Saccharomyces cerevisiae S288C: one gene and its partners. The gene in region 1 interacts genetically with each later gene. Each region holds a gene or a part of one and is shown in the gene's direction. Other genes may lie near its edges. The genes, in order: SEC12, CBC2, HRR25 and SFB3.

Evidence for each region.
Region 2: mutations in SEC12 (region 1) and CBC2 together harm fitness more than expected from each alone (negative genetic interaction), as found in Saccharomyces cerevisiae (2 studies listed by BioGRID).
Region 3: of SEC12 (region 1) and HRR25, a mutation in one rescues a mutant of the other (synthetic rescue), as found in Saccharomyces cerevisiae (3 studies listed by BioGRID, with this or other methods).
Region 4: mutations in SEC12 (region 1) and SFB3 are lethal when combined (synthetic lethality), as found in Saccharomyces cerevisiae (2 studies listed by BioGRID, with this or other methods).

The regions. Positions count from the first base shown.
Region 1 is NC_001146.8:671,404-677,393, reverse strand, and holds SEC12 (Sar family guanine nucleotide exchange factor SEC12), read left to right. Parts: upstream 1-2,704; coding exon 2,705-4,120; downstream 4,121-5,990. Other genes in the region: ZNG1 (GTP-dependent zinc transferase), read left to right, coding at 1-195; peptidylprolyl isomerase family protein CPR8, read right to left, coding at 291-1,217; putative pyridoxal kinase BUD17, read right to left, coding at 1,518-2,471; MPP6 (Mpp6p), read right to left, coding at 4,425-4,985; SNF12 (Snf12p), read right to left, coding at 5,276-5,990.
Region 2 is NC_001148.4:209,305-214,450, forward strand, and holds CBC2 (nuclear cap-binding protein subunit CBC2), read left to right. Parts: upstream 1-2,853; coding exon 2,854-3,480; downstream 3,481-5,146. Other genes in the region: PPQ1 (protein-serine/threonine phosphatase), read left to right, coding at 1-502; CUP9 (Cup9p), read right to left, coding at 3,738-4,658.
Region 3 is NC_001148.4:162,683-166,260, forward strand, and holds HRR25 (serine/threonine protein kinase HRR25), read left to right. Parts: upstream 1-1,593; coding exon 1,594-3,078; downstream 3,079-3,578. Other genes in the region: PGC1 (phosphatidylglycerol phospholipase), read right to left, coding at 1-915; cAMP-dependent protein kinase catalytic subunit TPK2, read left to right, coding at 3,574-3,578. UniProt on the Saccharomyces cerevisiae protein: Protein kinase which phosphorylates serine and threonine residues. Can use casein as a substrate. Phosphorylates elongator complex member ELP1/IKI3 on 'Ser-1198' and 'Ser-1202' which promotes the tRNA modification function of the complex.
Region 4 is NC_001140.6:297,374-304,786, reverse strand, and holds SFB3 (Sfb3p), read left to right. Parts: upstream 1-2,852; coding exon 2,853-5,642; downstream 5,643-7,413. Other genes in the region: histone acetyltransferase TRA1, read right to left, coding at 1-2,026; PAL2 (Pal2p), read left to right, coding at 6,178-6,302, 6,427-7,402. UniProt on the Saccharomyces cerevisiae protein: Component of the COPII coat, that covers ER-derived vesicles involved in transport from the endoplasmic reticulum to the Golgi apparatus.

The DNA.
Region 1 (5,990 bases):
GTACAAAGAACTAAAGGTCTGATACTTATTGAAGGAGAGAACCCCATTGCTCGTGTAATCCAAGGCGTCCGCGACACCTACGATGTCTTTCCAGGCAAATATGACGGATCCAATAAAGAGTGTAAAATTGTGCTGATTGGGAAGTACCTAGAAAAGGAATCCATAGAGGAACTGTTACGTAAAACCCTGGAATGATGGTTGGCATAATAAAGACGAGGTAAGTTATGTATATTTATACGTATGTATGTGATACAAAATGAATGAATATTAAGCGGATGGATCGAAACATTTTAATCCTCTCTAATAGAAACTATTTTAGACGATCTGTTGAATATTCTTTTCCTGTACTTGGCCAAAACGTAGAAAAGTAACAATACCGAAATACCAAGCATAATCTTTGGTAAAGGATGGTGAAGCTGATTATATTTTGCGTCTTCTAACTTTCTTTGACTACCCTGGTATAAATAATTCTTCAATGTAATACCTTTCTCCAAATCGCCGTTTTGGTAATCTTGAAGCCTTTGTAAATACTTTTCGTGAGCTTCCTTTGCATGCTGAATCCTGTGTTCCTGGGATGAAATGTAACCTATTGTTATTGGTTGCTCTGGTTTGCCATTTTCGTCAGTTTTCACATTAGCTAGTTTATCCATCAGATCTTTTAACCCGGCGGTAACTTGGCCAAACACAACACTTTCACCTTCAAGTGGCGTCTCACTGGTCTCAATTATAAACTTAAGACCCTTATCGTCCTTAATCATGGAAACTCTGCCTGGCCTATCATGAATTAAACTATGATTTTCTTCCGGGAGTTTTGGAGCCAACATTTCCGTTTCTTCAATAGAGGAGGAAGAAACGGAGCTACCTTCTATAGCTCCATTCGGTAGAATTTTATCAAAATCGCGTTCTGGCGAGTAACTGTGACGGGAAGCAAGGCGATCTTTTACACTATCAACATACTGGCAAAAAGTCATTACTGTCTTGGGCACCATAGTCCCGTATAAGTCTATTGTTATGAGACGGCCGGCTTCTTCCGAACTTTCAGGATCTGTGAAAACAATTCCGATGTTTACATTATGTGTAATAGGAGGGTCTGGTGCGTATTTTTTCTTTAGGTCTAAGGAGTCTGAAGAAGCCCTTTTGTTATCCACAGGTAATGGCAGAGCCGTTATGCAACTAAACATGAATGCCACATAAAGATAAAGAAAAAAGCTCTTCATTGGGAACCAATGTATACAAATTGTAATAATCTTTCAATTGTGATACTGAATATGAATAGTCTTCTTTATTTATCTACTGCAGTAGTTGATTCTATATATTCTATATATTCTATATTTTTCTTCTATTTTTTTAAATATTTTTTTTCCAATCAAATTGAAAGACCCAAAGAAGGATCGATCTTCTCCAAAGGGACGCGTCGTGTGCCTACAGTTTCCAAATCAGGAATGTATTTTCCTATTTAGGCAGGTTCCTGCAGCAGCCGCACCCCAATGAGGAAGGAGCATACCGTTTCGTAAGAATCATATTTTAATGGTTTTTGGCTTGCCAATGGAGGGTATGAGATCTTGCTTTAGGATGTCTCTACACTGAATCAGCTTTAAATCCTTGATATCTATCGTGGAATCTTGTGGGCCCCGCTCAGCTATGTTTAAATCATACGTTTTTTGTAGGATACTGGTGACGAGCCACAGCACTTGGCCCAAGGATGCGCTTAATGACAGCTGTGTGCAGCGGCGGTCGCCTAGTAACGAGTCAGTGAGCATGGCGCTGATTAAATCACCACTTCCACTAAATTTTGCGTTGATCTTGGGGATTTCATAGAAGAATATCTCTTCACTGGCCGAGCAATCAAACCCTGCTACTACGTAAGTGTCGTTGCTCAGGAATTCAGATAATTCCAGACTAGTGACAACTATTCGGCTTACTCGAGGGTACTTTTTATGAAATAGTTTAAATGCCTGCTTAGCGTCGTCTAAGGTACGAATTGACATCCCCACCAACAGTTCCATTTCAAACTGATTTGGTGTGGCCAAAAAAATTTTGAAGTTTTGTAAAATGTCTTGGTATACCGCAACACATTCTCGATCCACGTACAGCCTTCCATTATCGCCCAGTACAGGATCTAATATCCACTTGACGTTTTCACTCCCCTCACATAATTGACCCACTATTCCTGCTACCTTTTGCAGGGCTTGAACATTGGGTAAATAGCCACTAAGTACGGCATCATACTTGATTCTAAGAGACCCAATCAAGCCCTTCTCTACAATGTCTACCAACTCCTCAGTGCTGCATTTGAAGCCTGTGAAGTGGGCGTACCCCGAGTGGTTAGAAAACTGAACTGTGTTCAATACGTCCACATCCCAACCTCTGTATTGAAGTGGGAACGTAGCGGCCTTGTTTCCCACGTAGCCATGTATGACGTGTGATTGAATGGAGAGCACTTTTTTTGTCGTATGTAATGTACTGGTCATTGGCACCACCCTCACACAGGCATGTATTCAACCTTCCACTGCGTCTGGTCTAATTTCTCAAAGCTAGTTATTATCTTTATCTTGAATGGTGATGACAATAGAGTAAGAATGAGGGAAAAAAGAAAAGTTGAAAAAAAAAAAATCCAAAAAATTCAAAAACGTGTACAGAAACCTAGAAGGATACGTGATAGAAATACAGATATATAACAAGGTTGAGATACAATCGAGCCACTATGAAGTTCGTGACAGCTAGTTATAACGTCGGGTATCCTGCGTACGGTGCAAAATTTTTGAATAACGACACATTACTTGTGGCAGGCGGTGGAGGAGAAGGAAACAATGGCATACCAAACAAGCTGACGGTCTTGCGCGTGGATCCTACCAAAGATACTGAGAAGGAACAGTTTCATATATTGAGCGAGTTTGCATTGGAAGACAACGACGACTCTCCTACTGCAATTGACGCTTCCAAGGGTATCATTTTGGTTGGCTGCAATGAAAATAGCACTAAGATTACCCAAGGTAAAGGTAATAAGCACTTGAGAAAATTTAAATACGATAAAGTGAATGATCAATTGGAGTTCCTCACTAGTGTAGACTTTGACGCATCTACAAATGCGGATGACTACACGAAGCTGGTTTATATTTCACGAGAAGGTACCGTTGCAGCTATCGCATCATCTAAAGTACCTGCTATAATGAGAATCATTGACCCGAGCGACTTGACAGAGAAGTTTGAGATCGAGACTAGGGGTGAAGTAAAGGATTTACACTTTTCCACTGATGGTAAGGTTGTTGCTTATATCACCGGTTCTAGCTTGGAAGTGATTTCAACAGTGACTGGAAGTTGCATTGCTAGGAAAACAGATTTTGATAAGAATTGGAGTTTATCTAAAATAAACTTCATAGCCGATGACACAGTATTGATAGCAGCCTCTTTAAAAAAAGGGAAAGGTATTGTGCTGACCAAAATAAGCATCAAATCAGGAAACACTTCCGTATTAAGATCCAAACAAGTGACAAACAGATTCAAAGGGATTACTTCTATGGATGTCGACATGAAGGGTGAATTGGCGGTACTGGCAAGTAATGACAATTCCATAGCTCTTGTGAAACTAAAAGACCTGTCAATGTCTAAAATATTCAAACAAGCTCATAGTTTTGCCATTACAGAGGTCACTATCTCTCCGGACTCTACATATGTGGCGAGTGTTTCGGCAGCCAACACTATCCACATAATAAAATTACCGCTTAACTACGCCAACTACACCTCAATGAAACAAAAAATCTCTAAATTTTTCACCAACTTCATCCTTATTGTGCTGCTTTCTTACATTTTACAGTTCTCCTATAAGCACAATTTGCATTCCATGCTTTTCAATTACGCGAAGGACAATTTTCTAACGAAAAGAGACACCATCTCTTCGCCCTACGTAGTTGATGAAGACTTACATCAAACAACTTTGTTTGGCAACCACGGTACAAAAACATCTGTACCTAGCGTAGATTCCATAAAAGTGCATGGCGTGCATGAGACGAGTTCTGTGAATGGAACTGAAGTCTTATGTACTGAAAGTAACATTATTAATACTGGAGGGGCAGAGTTTGAGATCACCAACGCAACTTTTCGAGAAATAGATGATGCTTGAGCTTGAGAGAAAGTTATGAGGTAGCAATAATGAAGTAGCGAAAAGGAGAGTGACGACACTCAAGCTATGAAAAAAAACGCAAAGATACAAAAACGATCTCAATGATATTGATGATAGAGATTTATCTGATAAATTAGAAGTGGTGTATTTACATGTTTTTGTATATGTTTTGGAATTGAGCGTAATAGAAAGGACGGCAGTCCTTATGGTTTATGACAAATACGAAAAAAATACTACACAATGCTTTATATTATGTTCTCATTATTATATACGAATACGTACTTCTGCTGGTGCATTGTCTGCGCTACTTTTTTGAATTTCTATTTTTATTTTTACCATTATGGTTGGTCTTTTTCTTTTTGATGCTATCCTTAAATAATTTATCTAGGTCATATTCATCCTCTCCATCGTCTTGGCTCCCTGTAAATTCCTTATCCTTAGCATCCCTTTTCTCGTCTTCATTTTGTTCGCCTTCATCAAACTTTCTCTTCCTGGAACCACTATCATCAGAATTATCGCCAAAGGTTTTTCTCCCACTTATCACACCCTCAGGTTTTCGCAGTTCACTGTAACCAACGTTGGAGATTATGAGATTGGGTCGCTTCTTATATACTACTCTTTTCACCTTTTTCTTCTCCTTACCTGAAATTTTTTTTAAATCATCTTTGTAGCTATTGAGGTCCCACGCTGAGTCATCCAGACCAAAGAGTTTACCTTTCTGCTCTATAGGTTCCACATCTGAGTTGATATTAGACGGCGTATTGGAGTTGGAACTCTCTTCGTCATCCGTCTTACCAAATTTCATAAACTTCATATTCATGACTCTACTAGAGAGTTTGCCAGTGACACCATTGTTAGCACTCATTTGTTGCTTTTCCCTTGGTTCCTTATATGCTTATTGTGTTTAAGTGGCCCTCATCTCTACTACTTTTTCATATTCTGAAATTTCCAGTAGAAAATTTTCAGCGCTTTTCTTAGAAAGAGACAATGGAATCAGACAGCCGCCATTACTTGTAGGCGCTATAAACAAATCAGCATTGTCTGTTCGTCTTTAATTATTATAAATGAATGGTGACCTTTCTTTTCCTATCTAGAGTTTATATACAAAGAAAACTACATAAATCTTCAGTCTATTGTGTATCAATGTAAAGAAGCCTACATTCGTCCATTTGATAATATGACTTCTATATTCTCGCGCAACATAGCTTCATTTTCCTTGTAAAAGTTAGCCCGCCTTACCATATCTTCATTATAGCCCTCATCTCCCGATAAAACTTTCAAAGCATTCGAGGTAGAAGCAATGCATTCATTTAATGCTTTAACTGGGTCCTCACTAATTTTCTTGAAGAAACGGTATCGTTTGTTGCTCTCGTGTAGATTCGAGAGAACGGACGTTATTTCTTTGTCCTGTAAAGCTATCTTGGGTTTGATTTGTTCCAATTCCCTGGCATTTTCATTCAATTCAGCAGCCCCAATTTGACTTTCTCTTTGTGTATTATTGAATTTTAGAGCGTTGACATCAGGTACTTCAATATCAAGAACCAACTCACCATAAGTGGAAGCTTTATCAACGCGTACTGTGTAATCAATTTCAATTGGCTGTAATGGGAGCAGGTGAGTACTATTAATAAGGGACAGTAAATCCGTTAATTTCATTGTATCTGGAGAAGATTCTTTAAGACTGCTGGGTAATAAGGTAATAAGCTGAGTGTCTAATTTTACAATAGAAACTTGACTGGAGGCTGCATCAAGCATCTTACTAGTACTGGTGTTGCTATTGTGATTGTTCCTGTTGCCCATCAAATTTTCGAATGCAGACTCATCATTGGTAAGCAATTCATTTAAATGGATGTATTTATATATGGAAAAT
Region 2 (5,146 bases), on another chromosome or scaffold:
GAAAGTATGGAAAATGTTCGTTGACGTATTTAATACTTTGCCATTAGCAGCAATTATTCAAGATAAGATCTTTTGCGTTCATGGAGGTATATCGCCCGATTTACATGACATGAAGCAAATCGAAAAAGTCGCAAGACCAACGGATATTCCTGAAAGCGGGCTGGTTACAGACTTACTGTGGAGTGACCCAGACCCTCAAGTAACTGATTGGTCAGAAAATGATCGTGGTGTTTCATACACATTTTCTAAGAGGAACGTTCTTGATTTTTGTGCTAAGTTTAAATTCGATTTAATACTTAGGGGACATATGGTCGTAGAAGATGGTTATGAATTCTTTGCCAGGAAAAAGTTTGTCACAATCTTTTCAGCACCAAATTATTGTGGAGAATTTCATAATTGGGGGGCAGTAATGAGCGTTACAACGGGTATGATGTGTAGCTTTGAACTGTTAAAGCCGCGTGCATTGAAAAATAAAAAGAAGTTATACAAAACCAAAGTGTAGCTGTTGCTAAGATTGGTTTTGCCTGGAAAGCACATTGGTTTTTAGGCCTCTTATCCTTCATTTGGAAACTTTTTGTCCTATGATTTGTTTTTTTCATTTTATTTTTCATTTTATTTTTCATTTTATTTTCATTTAGTTAACATTATTATGCAGTTATTTTTTTTTTTCCCACCTTCATGGCCTCGTTTATGTCTTTTATCAATATATTTTTTACGTTTATAAGTCATTTACTCGACTTTTTTTACCTTTGATATGCAATCATATTATTCTTCCCTCCATTATGGCTAAATAAATGATAATTATAATCTATAGTTTTCAAGCGTTCATATTTTGACAGATAAGATTATGCAACAACTTGGAAGGGCGGAAGGAAGCAAAAAGAAAACTCCGATACGGGGAGTCGAACCCCGGTCTCCACGGTGAAAGCGTGATGTGATAGCCGTTACACTATATCGGACAATAATTGGACAGAAAATTTTGTTAAAGTGTCAGCCTAATCGGCGTAATACGTATATATGTATATTATCTGCATATTATTACGATAATATACAACAAAACGGATTAAAACAATCGGTATATTTCAATTTGATATTTGGGATAAGGTAAAATAAAAACCGAAGATCAGTAAGCTCTTGTTACTTTTTTGTTGGAATAGAGGATCAAGAAGCATTTATTGCTAGTATCCAAATTATTAGTATATCATCATGTTTTCAAAAAAAAATGATGTAAAAATTGAGAAACAGTCACCAGTCATCATGAAAAGTGCACTGCAAGGATTAATAACGTAATAAAACAAGAACGACAGTACATAAACGAAAGAAGAGATAACTATATTATTGTATAGAATTATCGATTCTCTTTTAGAATTCTTTTATTCTCCAGGAAAACTACTTGTACATTCTGTTTAGCTAATATTGTAGCCTTTAACCACAATAAAATGCACTCCAAGTATAACCCAAAATTCATTGTTTTCAAATTTATATTAATGAGATATTGGTAACCTAAACATCAAAAATATTTTTACTCAAATTCTCTTTTCTGAAAACGCTGAAGGAAATGTGCAGGAAAAATGTTTGGCCATCAACTTTTATTCCTAGTACCACAACTAACGTCACATTCTATCGAGGCAAATGCTAATTGGCAACTAACACTATCTTAACGGTTTGATAATGTCAACACAAAATTCACCTATTATTACAAACGAATCTACCGGAAGTTGAAATGCCTGACAATAATCATACAATTGCATGAATAATTGCGAACAGATGGCAGCAAAGGATGAACTAATCATAATTATACATTGCCGCTGTAGGTTTCCTCCCATAAAAATCCAAATTTCCAAGAAAAAGTTCTTGTGTCTTCATACACTTAATATTGTTATCCTTCTTCAAGACCGGACTATATAAAGAAAAAATTTTGTAATGCTATTATATTTCAACTTCAAATTATTTTCTACTAGTAGACATAATGGAACTTCGCTCTCAGATAATCTATGGCGATAGATGGACAATTGACAATCTTCTGAAAGAATTTATATAATAAGATGTGACCATGACCTAAACCTGCTCACGCTCATGAAAGGATACAGGTAATTTGGCGAAACATTCCCAAGCTTCGCTGATAGACCTATCCCAGAAAGTGTCTGTTTAAAACTACAAGTATTTGCAGTTTTCGTTATCCAGTTTCGTTCAAGAGCATTAATGCACAAGCCACTTATATTATATAAATTTAAACTTTGGGAAAATATCATACACCTATTGTACCAGTAAATGTTGGAATAAAAATCAACTATCATCTACTAACTAGTATTTACGTTACTAGTATATTATCATATACGGTGTTAGAAGATGACACAAATGATGAGAAATAGTCATCTAAATTAGTGGAAGCTGAAACGCAAGGATTGATAATGTAATAGGATCAATGAATATTAACATATAAAATGATGATAATAATATTTATAGAATTGTGTAGAATTGCAGATTCCCTTTCATGGATTCCTAAATCCTTGAGGAGAACTTCTAGTATATCTATATACCTAATATTATAGCCTTAATCACAATGGAATCCCAACAATTACATCAAAATCCACATTGTCTACAGTAAAAGTATACCACTAATAGATTTGTAATTGGTGTATGAAGTAGTGTATGGTATAAACGTTAATAAGTGCTTATCAAAGTATTACCCGCTTTAACAGTTTTTGTGTTTTTTTCAAGAAAAATATTATATGTATGAATATAGAACATGAGTTTATATGGAGAAAGTGTCTCGACAGCTTTTAAAGTCCCGAAAGGACTAATATCGAATAAAAGTTGCATCCATTAATATACCAATAAATAAAGGGAAAGATGTCCCTGGAAGAATTTGACGAAGTTAAATATGATCATTCAACTAAACGCCTAGATACACCATCAAGGTACCTGCTGCGCAAGGCTAGAAGAAACCCTAACGGGCTACAAGAACTGCGTGAGTCGATGAAGTCATCCACAATTTATGTAGGAAATCTTTCCTTTTATACATCAGAAGAACAAATTTACGAATTATTCAGTAAATGTGGCACAATAAAAAGAATAATTATGGGTTTGGACCGTTTTAAGTTCACGCCATGTGGCTTCTGTTTTATTATATATAGTTGTCCAGATGAAGCATTGAATGCCTTAAAATATTTGTCCGATACAAAGTTAGACGAAAAGACAATTACCATTGATCTAGATCCTGGTTTTGAAGATGGAAGACAGTTTGGTCGTGGTAAGAGCGGTGGTCAAGTCAGCGATGAATTGAGGTTCGATTTTGATGCATCCAGAGGTGGCTTCGCCATTCCATTTGCAGAGCGTGTCGGCGTACCACATTCCAGATTTGATAACAGTAGCTCACAATCTAATACGAATAATTATATCCCTCCTCCTGATGCAATGGGTACTTTCAGACCAGGTTTCGATGAAGAAAGAGAAGATGATAACTACGTACCTCAGTAGAATCAATCAATTTATATCTGAGAAAGATTCTACACACAGATATATATATATATATATATATTATTGTATATATACATACCTACATTATTTTTAAAGGCTTGCATGATGCTGTTATGTAAAAAAAAAAAAAAAAAATCAGTGTAACATAATAGACGTAACACGTTCAATGACATGATAATACTATATATAGTAACGATAAAATGTAAATGGTAATAGATATAATTATATGAATATTTAAGTAATGCATTGATAAGTGATCAATTCATATCAGGGTTGGATAGCTTTTTCAATTCTTCCAGCCTATCAATTAGTTTTTTACGGCGTGTAACGGGGGCATGAGCAAATCTCTTGGATAATTCATAATCCGTGGAGCAGGTTGACGTAGCATCGTACATAGTATTATTTGTGGCAGATAATGTGTTATGATATGCTGAGACGTTTTGAACTCGTTCCACTGGGGTATTATTCGCGTTGTCATTAGGAATTGAGTTTACCAGGGTATAGTAATCACTAAATATTTTGCGTCTTCTCACATTTATGAACCAATTAGAAAGTTGAATCTTGGTTAGCCCAGTTTTGATTAACAACTCCCTCTTTTCTTGTTGAGTTGGGTAGGGGTTATTCAGGTGGTTCAGCAACCAAGTATTCAGTATCTGCACTGTTTCCTTTGGCAGGTTAGACCTCCTGCCCGAATTTTGCTTCCTCCTTGATTTAGATTCTACAAAATCCGAAAATGGCCTGTTGTATTGTGCCCCCGCATCCTTTTCCTTATTGATTATTTCATATATTGGGGCGGATTTGTAGCAGGGCTTTGCATCATCGGACGCCGATTTTGACTTCTTTGAACTGCCATATTGAGATTGTGTATCCATAGCACTGCTACTCGTCTTGGACGTTTCAACTGTAGAAGCAGTAGGAGTAGCAGTAGTACTAGTACCGCCAGAATTAATTGCGGGATACGCAATCGAATGATGCTGTGGAAGTAACACAGGCGCAGGATAGTTTTGTTCCTCGGTACTAGACCGAAGGTTCCCATGCGAGTATTCTATGTTCGAAAATGCCAACTCGGGCATACTCCGTTTTTCTATGGAGTTAAATAGAACTTGGATAGGGGGTAGACTGACTTGATTGTCAACATTCTTACTGTTCCTGTTTTGTATTTCGCAGTTATAATTCATCTTCGAATGTAACTATTCTCGAAGGTTGTTAGCATAAAAGTAGGGGCTCGGCAAGTAGCGATCAGTAGCACTGGATAGGCGTGGTATCGCTTGAAAACAAGGGTGGGAAGATCAACTAAAAAATTGTATTAGTATATATCTTGACCAATTTAACATAATCTTACCAATTAACAGAAACAGGAGGCATTAAGAGACAAGAAAACGCCGGGCGCGACGAAATCAGTCATAGAAAATTAATCATTAATATATACACGCTGTAAGAAAACAAAAGGACAAAAATTAATTACCAAAAGAAAAAAACAAACTACAGCTTGATGTACATGAATAAATTAAGGTTCAACAAAAGAGAAAAGCTGAGAGACGTAAGATGGCAGAAATGACCCGTTCCCACAGAAAGAAATCTGAATCCGAAGAAGGAAGTAATACGCGCGTGAGCGGATAAGGTTTCTTATCTAGCCAATCACAAAAATCAACAGTAGTAATTCTCG
Region 3 (3,578 bases), on another chromosome or scaffold:
CCAACCGCACAACTTAATATGGACCCATTTGGAATATAGAAGCGTGCAAAGGATGTTATAAACTTTGATAAAAGCATGGAATCTTAGCCCATCTACAGATGCCAGACTGGGCGCAACAAACTTTTTTTCAGCAGTAGGCTTCTTCGCCACGGTATGACCATCGCATAACTTTCTTGCCTTGATCGGATCATCCGTGATAGCACCATGGATAGGCAATTCGCACAGATATTTGAAATCTATAGGTTTGTTGACAGTCCATAAATAGACCTTGATATCATTCTTCATAAGCACAGGTAGTAATCTCAATCTAAATTGGCTTGTCCACGAGGAGACAAAATGGACGCTGATACCAAAAAGTTTATAGTGAGGATCATTCAGTGTCAAAGAGCGCTTCACAAATTGCGAGGCGATATCTAAAGACAGACTTATCACAATAACTTTGAAATCCTTCAGAACACCAGTTTCAATACCGAAATCGTACCAATCCAGCAACCAAAGCCCCCACGTGATCCTCTCCTGCCAAAATTTAAGATCATTCTTAACCTCTAACATGATAACAAAGGTCTTGATCATGATGATTTTCTCGTTGGTAAATTTGATGTCCAACATCAATTTAGCTCCTGGATGGCACACTGCCCATGTTAGAATTTCCTTCAATGTCATCATTGCTAAGGAACCATCCTCTTTGCAGCGCAATCGCTTAACCTCCTCCCAAGTCGACTCGCCAATCACCAAGTTCTTATCCCACATCCGACCAGTGTCTGAGTCATGGTTTACCACCACCATACCATCGCTGGTCATTTGTAAATCCGTTTCTATTACATCAGCACCTGCTGCATAAGCCTTCTCAAATGCTAGTAGCGTATTTTCAGGATATCTTGCTTTAAAAGCTCTGTGGCCCACAATTTCAACCATCCTCGTGTCCTTGTTGTTATCTTACACTTCTTATTTATCAATAACACTAGTAACATCAACAACACCAATTTTATATCTCCCTTAATTGTATACTAAAAGATCTAAACCAATTCGGTATTGTCCTCGATACGGCATGCGTATAAAGAGATATAATTAAAAGAGGTTATAGTCACGTGATGCAGATTACCCGCAACAGTACCACAAAATGGATACCATCTAATTGCTATAAAAGGCTCCTATATACGAATAACTACCACTGGATCGACGATTATTTCGTGGCAATCATATACCACTGTGAAGAGTTACTGCAACTCTCGCTTTGTTTCAACGCTTCTTCCCGTCTGTGTATTTACTACTAATAGGCAGCCCACGTTTGAATTTCTTTTTTTCTGGAGAATTTTTGGTGCAACGAGGAAAAGGAGACGAAGAAAAAAAGTTGAAACACGACCACATATATGGAACGTGGTTGAAATACAAAGAGAAGAAAGGTTCGACACTCGAGGAAAGCATTTGGTGGTGAAAACACATCTTAGTAGCATCTTTAAACCTCTGTTGGGTACTTAGAAAAATATTTCCAGACTTCAAGGATAAAAAAAGTCGAAAAGTTACGACATATTCGACCAAAAAAAAAAACCAAAAAGAAAAGATATATTTATAGAAAGGATACATTAAAAAGAGATGGACTTAAGAGTAGGAAGGAAATTTCGTATTGGCAGGAAGATTGGGAGTGGTTCCTTTGGTGACATTTACCACGGCACGAACTTAATTAGTGGTGAAGAAGTAGCCATCAAGCTGGAATCGATCAGGTCCAGACATCCTCAATTGGACTATGAGTCCCGCGTCTACAGATACTTAAGCGGTGGTGTGGGAATCCCGTTCATCAGATGGTTTGGCAGAGAGGGTGAATATAATGCTATGGTCATCGATCTTCTAGGCCCATCTTTGGAAGATTTATTCAACTACTGTCACAGAAGGTTCTCCTTTAAGACGGTTATCATGCTGGCTTTGCAAATGTTTTGCCGTATTCAGTATATACATGGAAGGTCGTTCATTCATAGAGATATCAAACCAGACAACTTTTTAATGGGGGTAGGACGCCGTGGTAGCACCGTTCATGTTATTGATTTCGGTCTATCAAAGAAATACCGAGATTTCAACACACATCGTCATATTCCTTACAGGGAGAACAAGTCCTTGACAGGTACAGCTCGTTATGCAAGTGTCAATACGCATCTTGGAATAGAGCAAAGTAGAAGAGATGACTTAGAATCACTAGGTTATGTCTTGATCTATTTTTGTAAGGGTTCTTTGCCATGGCAGGGTTTGAAAGCAACCACCAAGAAACAAAAGTATGATCGTATCATGGAAAAGAAATTAAACGTTAGCGTGGAAACTCTATGTTCAGGTTTACCATTAGAGTTTCAAGAATATATGGCTTACTGTAAGAATTTGAAATTCGATGAGAAGCCAGATTATTTGTTCTTGGCAAGGCTGTTTAAAGATCTGAGTATTAAACTAGAGTATCACAACGACCACTTGTTCGATTGGACAATGTTGCGTTACACAAAGGCGATGGTGGAGAAGCAAAGGGACCTCCTCATCGAAAAAGGTGATTTGAACGCAAATAGCAATGCAGCAAGTGCAAGTAACAGCACAGACAACAAGTCTGAAACTTTCAACAAGATTAAACTGTTAGCCATGAAGAAATTCCCCACCCATTTCCACTATTACAAGAATGAAGACAAACATAATCCTTCACCAGAAGAGATCAAACAACAAACTATCTTGAATAATAATGCAGCCTCTTCTTTACCAGAGGAATTATTGAACGCACTAGATAAAGGTATGGAAAACTTGAGACAACAGCAGCCGCAGCAGCAGGTCCAAAGTTCGCAGCCACAACCACAGCCCCAACAGCTACAGCAGCAACCAAATGGCCAAAGACCAAATTATTATCCTGAACCGTTACTACAGCAGCAACAAAGAGATTCTCAGGAGCAACAGCAGCAAGTTCCGATGGCTACAACCAGGGCTACTCAGTATCCCCCACAAATAAACAGCAATAATTTTAATACTAATCAAGCATCTGTACCTCCACAAATGAGATCTAATCCACAACAGCCGCCTCAAGATAAACCAGCTGGCCAGTCAATTTGGTTGTAAGCAACATATATTGCTCAAAACGCACAAAAATAAACATATGTATATATAGACATACACACACACATATATATATATATATTATTATTATTATTTACATATACGTACACACAATTCCATATCGAGTTAATATATACAATTCTGGCCTTCTTACCTAAAAAGATGATAGCTAAAAGAACCACTTTTTTTATGCATTTTTTTCTTCGGGAAGGAAATTAAGGGGGAGCGGAGCACCTCTTGGCCAATTTGTTTTTTTTTTATGTAATAAAGGGCTAACGATCGAAGATCAATCACGAATATTGGACGGTTTTAAAGGAGGGCCTCTGAGAAGACAGCATCAATTCGTATTTTCGATAATTAACTTGCCTTATAGTGTCTGATTAGGAAACAATCACGAGACGATAACGACGGAATACCAAGGAAGTTTGTGCAAATATACAGCCGGCACAAACAGCAGCTTCACTCAGGTTAACTCACATACTGTTGAAAATTGTCGGTATGGA
Region 4 (7,413 bases), on another chromosome or scaffold:
TGGCTGAGACCGGTAGGCTGGGCATTGATATATCAAAATGTTTTTTTGTTGTTTCTGGAGATAATTTTTCATTATGATCTTTAAAAAATTTCAAACCAATAATACATTCGTGAAATAAATCCTTGAAAACAATGACTTCCTCATATGAAAAAACTCTAGAAACAGAAGCCCACAATTTAGGATTAGCAACCGTATATTCGTTAGGAGGTGGGTTAAAGACTTTTAAGTCATGAATTATTGTTTTTAAGAAAGACATTAAAGTTCTGTATAAGTAAAAAGCATCCTTGATGGGATCATTTGTTGGTGTGGGTAGTAATAATATAGGTGCGTAGTTTTTTATGTCAAACATTTCAACGTCATTCTTCACCACTTTGTCAGATTCTGTCATTTCAACATCGGGACTATCATTGATATCTTCTTTTTTAGGCTGTGGCATCAAATGGTCGTCATCGGATGGTTCCAGTACCTTCCTCATAAATTCCTCACTCTCTTTGTCATTATCCTGTATAGAGTTTTTGAGCTTTTCTGCTTTCTCCTTCTTATGCGTTTCGTATCTTCCATAGTACTTCATTATTGTATCGTACTGTCTGTTTAAGGTTTTAAATCTATTCATATATGAGTCAATGATTATCATTAACAATTTCTTTGCTCTAGGGGCCTCTTGTGGGTTCTCCTTTCCCAATTTTAATATTCTTTCAACTAAATTAAGCAGCAATTTTGCACTCATGATTTGTACAGTTAAGGCTAATGACTCATCCAATAGATATCCAGTGTAAATCTTTATTGTTTTTTCAATTTCACTTAGTTGTAATTCAGATCTTATATTATGAATGAAATCTGCCACAGTACTATAAGCCAGGGGCCTTAATGTTTCATGCATAGTAAAACCGTTACCAATAAGTATACGTTCGTCAAACAGATAGTCCAATTTGGGTAAAAAGAGCTTTTTGTAGTTTGTAGATAGAATGTGTCTAGTGGCATGCAAAAGTTCCTTCCTAGCAGATGATAGTTCAGAAGGGCAGTCTTGTAAAAGCCTTATGATTAAATCAGGAACAAAATTCACATAATCCTGCAAAAATTCAGGAGCGTATCCTCTAATGAATACGTAAGCCAAGAAAGACGTGGCCTTGATCTGGGCTAATATAAAATCACAGTAAGCCGGTCTGTTGATAATCTCCGTCGATATAGAAGTGAAATGTTCTCCCCGTGATTCCGCCTGTTCTCTCGCTTCCTGTTGTTGTTTAATTTGTATATTCAATAGATTCATAATAAGAGGAGTGAATTCCGGAAGCGAGGTGCTAGTCAACTGCTTGTAAGACGAATATAAAGTGACCATTGTAATAGGGCATTCAGAAAGGATTTTAAAGGAAAACATAGATGACCTCAACCCGTTTGATGAGGTAGAGTTTTCAAACCTTGGCTCCGTGGATGATTGTTTCGATGGAAAGTCCTTTTCTTCATCATTTTTGGAGAATTCATCGAGAAGTTCATCTGCCTGTGGTTCTTTTGGTGAATCCAAATCACCCTGTTCTGCTTTCCCGGCTTCATAAAACGTCTGGTTTATAAGGTTTGGTGTATTTTTATAAATCTGAATAATTATTCGTATGAAGGAGTCGAGTTTGTCCTGTAGTATTGATTTGAATGATTTGAAAAGTGTCGTCAGCACTTTCATACATAATATCCCATTTTCTTCGTTTTCCTTTGGTAGTACTGAAAGTAAAAACTCGAGCACTTCCATTGCGTAGGGTTGAAAGGTTTGGTTCATGAGACACCTGTTGAAAATATCAAGCATAGAGTTTCTCAACTTTTGTTCCGGTGAATGCGCATCATATGAAATAGGAACTTCCTTTAGCTGGTTTAGAAGTAAAGGTATCACAGCTTGTAAGAAAAAATGGTAATCCTCAGGAGAATTCAGTAATTCCATTATGTCGTACAATTCCGATAGAGTGGAATATCTCGATTGTAGAGTGGCATCATCATCGCGAAACCTACTGGCGAATTGCTCGATCTGCTCAGTGAGTGACATCGGCAAAATGCGGTATTCTTTGTAACTATGGAGATATCGTGTGATAGATCTTCTCTGAATTTAATCTTCTTTATGTAATTACGTGTGATACCTCCGATTTTGTTGGTGTTGTTTATTAGAATACAACTAAAAAAGGCTATTAAAGAAAAATGGTTCTTGAGCTTTTTTTTCAGTTTGACCTGGAAAACTGTCTGACCACGTGATCACTTACCAAATTAGGAAACACAAGATTCAAGGTGGTCTTTTGAACAATTGTTGGTTGAATTTGTAATTTGAGGGTACAATAAATGCAGACTGATTTGGTATTCGATACGTGCGTTAGCTATTTTCGTGCGTTTTGTTTGTTCCTATGATCTCAGCGGCGTCCAGATGCTAGTTGAAAAGGCATGAATTATGGCTTTGTCTTGAAATGCGCGTGTCCGTAAAATATTGTCTGGCAGAGTAGCGTACAATTCTTAGTTTTGGCTTTTTGATTCAAGTTGATCTTCAAATTTCACTTATTTGCGTTCTGGCGATCTATCTGAAGGAGTTGATTAGTGGCGGCTAAAAGTGATGCAGCTCGTCCTTCTGTTTGCCCTATTGAAGGTGAAGCCTTCCGTGCACAATGCGAAAAAAATGTTCTTTTTTTTCCTTCGTTTCGTCTCAACGTGGGAACGATCAAACTGGAAAAACCAAAGAGAAAAATGTTAGAAAATAAATAAATAAAAAAAACACGTACGCTGTAACAACTTAGGTCTGATTCAACCAAATCGGAGCTTGCAACTGAAGAAATTAGTAATTTTGAGGGTTACTAAGGAGGCCATTTGCAGAAGAATATTGGACCATCATGTCTCAGCAGAATATTTTGGCAGCTAGTGTTTCAGCGCTCTCTCTTGATGAATCTACTGTGCATACGGGCGGAGCATCTTCCAAAAAAAGTAGAAGACCTCACAGAGCATATCATAACTTTTCCTCGGGCACTGTTCCTACTTTGGGCAATTCACCCTACACTACACCCCAATTGAATCAGCAGGATGGTTTTCAACAACCTCAAGCCTTTACCCCTAAGCAATTTGGTGGCTTCAACAACGGTTCGGGTTCCGTTATGTCCACGCCTGTAATGGTGAGTCAAGAGCGATTCGGTGCGAGTGAGGCCTCCTCGCCATATGGTCAATCTATGCTTGATATGACAGCGCCTCAACCTACATCTCACATTGTTCCAACTCAAAGATTTGAAGATCAAGCTCAATATTTACAACGATCTTTCGAAACTTGTAGAGATTCTGTTCCGCCCTTGCCGACCACCCAGTTTTATTGTGTTGACCAAGGTTCATGTGATCCGCACTTGATGAGTTTATCCATGTACAACATCCCCGAAAGTGAACACTTGAGAGCCGCCACGAAGCTACCACTTGGATTAACCATCCAACCATTTTCCACTTTGACACCGAATGATGCAGAAGTTCCCACAATTCCATTACCAATGGATGGTACGCCTTTGCGTTGTAGACGTTGTCGTGCGTATGCTAATCCTAAATTTCAGTTCACTTATGATTCAAGTGTTATTTGTAATATTTGTAGAGTTAAGATGCAAGTTCCAGGTGAGCATTTTGCGCCCATGGGTCCCAATGGGCAACGAAGTGATTTGAACGAAAAATCAGAGTTATTGCACGGAACAGTCGATTTCTTGGTGCCAAGTATTTACAATGCTATTCAGGAGAAGGAGCTTTTACCACTACACTACGTGTTTTTGATTGATGTTTCATTGTTAGCTAATGAGAACGGAAGTTCTTTAGCCATGGTGGAAGGTGTCAGGTCATGTATTGAGTATATTTCAGATTTCCAGCCAAATTGTGAGGTTGCTATAATCGTTTATGATAATAAGTTGCGGTTCTTTAATTTGAGACCAGATTTAGATAATGCACAAGAGTACATTGTAAGTGAATTGGACGATGTTTTCTTACCATTTTATAATGGATTATTTGTTAAACCCGGAAACTCGATGAAAATCATTAATGACACATTGATAAAAATTAGTGGTTACATCTCCACCGACAAGTATAGTCACGTACCCCAAGTCTGTTATGGTTCTGCTTTACAAGCCGCAAAATTAGCGTTAGACACAGTAACTGGCGGGCAAGGTGGTAAGATTATTTGTTCTTTGAACAGCTTGCCAACGATCGGCAACGGGAATTTATCGCTAAAAAGGGACAATGCACACATTGCTCATGTTAAATGCGACAATGGGTTCTATAAGAAATTAGCATCGGATTTTTTGAAATCCTACATTTCTTTAGATTTATATGTGACCAATGCGGGATTCATTGATATGGCCACTGTGGGCCATCCTGTAGAGATGACTTCCGGTATTTTGAAATATTATCCCCACTTTCAACAAGAGACGGATGCCTTCACTTTGGTTAACGACATGGTTACAAATGTCTCCAATATTGTTGGTTATCAAGCTTTATTGAAAGTTCGCTGTTCTACTGGGCTATCTGTGGAACAGTACTACTGCGATTCATCTGATAATACGGATCATGATCCAATTATTCCTGTATTGACTAGAGATACCACCTTAGATGTCTTACTAAAATATGACAGTAAAATAAAAACAGGAACCGATGTTCATTTCCAAACTGCATTGTTATATACTGATATTGATGGTGTCAGAAAAGTTCGTTCTATTAACACGTCAGGTGCGGTATCTAATAACATTCGTGAAATTTTCAAGTTTATAAATCAAAATCCTGTCATGAGAATAATGATCAAAGATGTCATAAAGACGCTCGGTGATTGTGACTTTGTAAAGATCAGAAGATTAATTGATGACAAGATGGTCGAAATCTTGACCCAATATAGAGGATTGGTTAGCAGTAACTCATCAACGCAATTGATACTGCCGGATTCTATAAAGACATTGCCTGCTTACATGTTAGCATTTGAAAAAAGCGAATTAATGAAGCCAAACGCTCAAAGTACCCGTGGTAATGAACGAATTTATGATTTATTGAAGTACGATTCATTGAACTCAGCACAACTTTGCTACAAACTTTATCCACAAATTGTGCCATTCCATGTATTATTAGAGGAAACTGATCTGACCTTTTACGATGCTAATGATAAATTATTACAGATCAACTCCAGCTCTATTAATAATCTATCTGTAAGAGCCTCACACTCTAATTTCATTAACGGCGGTTGCTACTTGATTTTCCAAGGTGATACTATCTATCTATGGTTTAATGAGAACACCAATAGAATGCTCTTGCAAGACCTGCTGTCAGTGGATGAATCCTTGCCCGTCAGCCAAATTTCGTTATTTAGTGGAACATTGCCTGAGACGGGCACTAGTATTAATCAAAAGGCTTCAAACGTCATTAAAAACTGGCAACAAGTAGTCAACAAGTCATCATTGCCGTTAGTCTTGTTGAGGCCTAATGTTGATCAATATTACAGTAATGTGATGAGTCAATTGCTTTGCGAGGACAAGACCGTCAACAGAATCGAATCATATGACAATTACTTGGTGATAATGCATAAAAAAATTCAAGAAAAACTTCAAAAAGACGATTTCATTAAAGTCTCGACTGCCGCAACTCACGAAAATATCCATCAAAAATTTGTGCAGTTTTGAGCCTCGCTCAAAGGAGACCCTGTGCTTACACGCAGAAAACTGGAAATAACGACATATTGTTGTGGCTGTGGCCGATGCGGTTCGTATATCCATTACTAAATAATTAAATACGTAAATGAATGAATAGACTGATATGATTGTGATTTTTACGTGTTGGCTATATTGTGCCTTTCTGCATTCACCTGCGCCTCCTCATGTAGAAAGGCGTTGATCAAGGGGAATACAGGAGAAGTATTTTTGGGTTCGTGTTTTGGTGGGGTTCCAGCCACAGAAGGGCTCTCGGCAGCGAAACGCTGACTATGCTGAGAATACTGCCAAAAAAAAAAAAAAGGCAGTATGTGAAACGCAGGCAGAGAAAGGGTGAAATTCTACATAGGATGAGAGAATCTCATAATTACAGGGATAAAACTGTAGCTTTGCTTCCTCTTTTATCTTTATTTTTTCTTGACTGTCTTCTGGTAAATCTTGCAAAATTACTACTATTTTGTATTTCAGAAGCGTTTTTTCCAAAGAATACTATATCAAACAGACGCAAATGAATCAAACAGGAAGGACCATAGGCGGTCCTCAAAATGGCGTGAATACAGTGATTAACCCCTTCAGAGTTTCTCCTTCAGAGGACAGAGTATCAAGCAGGGATGAAACGCCCAGGAATTATAAGTATGTGTAGCTCCACTCCCAAAATTGCACTACAGTGTAACTAACAGTCATGACTACTTCAGAATACTAACTTAACTCTTTTTCTCCTTTCAAAATCGATTGAGATAATCCATAATTATTGCAGTAACCCATTTTTAAATGAAGATGACACTAGGAGGGCCCATAACAGTAGCGTTTCCAATTCTAGACAAGAAAGACTCCCATCATATGAAGAAGCTGCGGGGACACCGAAACAGCAAGCTCCATACCCAAAAGAAAAGAAACGCAGTAGTGGTTCAAATAGTCACCAACACAACCACCACCACCATCGTCGTACATCACACGGACATAGGGACAAAGATAAGCAGAAGAGCAAAAGCAGAACCAAGGTTAAGCCCCCTAAAAATGTAGACACTATTGACAAGATGGATGTTACAGGATTATTTGGCGGATCTTTCCATCATGACGGCCCCTTTGATGCATGCACTCCACAGAGAAATAAGAATAATAAAGTGGCGCCTGTACTGGCCTTCCCAGCAGATGGTCCAAATAATACAGTAGGCGGCCGCACAAGTAAGAAGTCTACCTTAGATGAGGTGTTTGGTAGGGAAACAGTAGACGACGATTCTGAGACGCTGAACCAACTACAAGATAGAGCATATTTATTCAATAAGGCCAATTCCAGTACTACGACTTTGGATGCGATTAAACCGAATTCAAAAAATATTACCCAGTTCGATTCCAAAATGAAAACTGAACTAGTCCATGGGCCCATTACGATGGGTCTAGGCTCAACGACGTTCCTGGATGGCGCACCAGCGTCTTCCGCTGCCATAGAGCAAGATGTTATCAACCACGCACAAGAATCTCGTAGGAAAAACAGCATAGCAAGAAAAAAGTCTCTCCCCTCAAGAAGACATCTACAAGTGAACAACAACAATTTAAAGCTAGTGAAAACACATAGTGGACACTTGGAGCAAAAGGACGTAGACGATAATAGAACTTCTGTTCCGGTCACTGCCACCCAAGGAAGCGGTCACGAAGATGTTGTTAAAAAGGAAAACACCGGCAACAAGCTATTAAGGAGGGTGAAAAGCTTGAAAACTAGTAAAAAGCACTGATCAATGCTTCT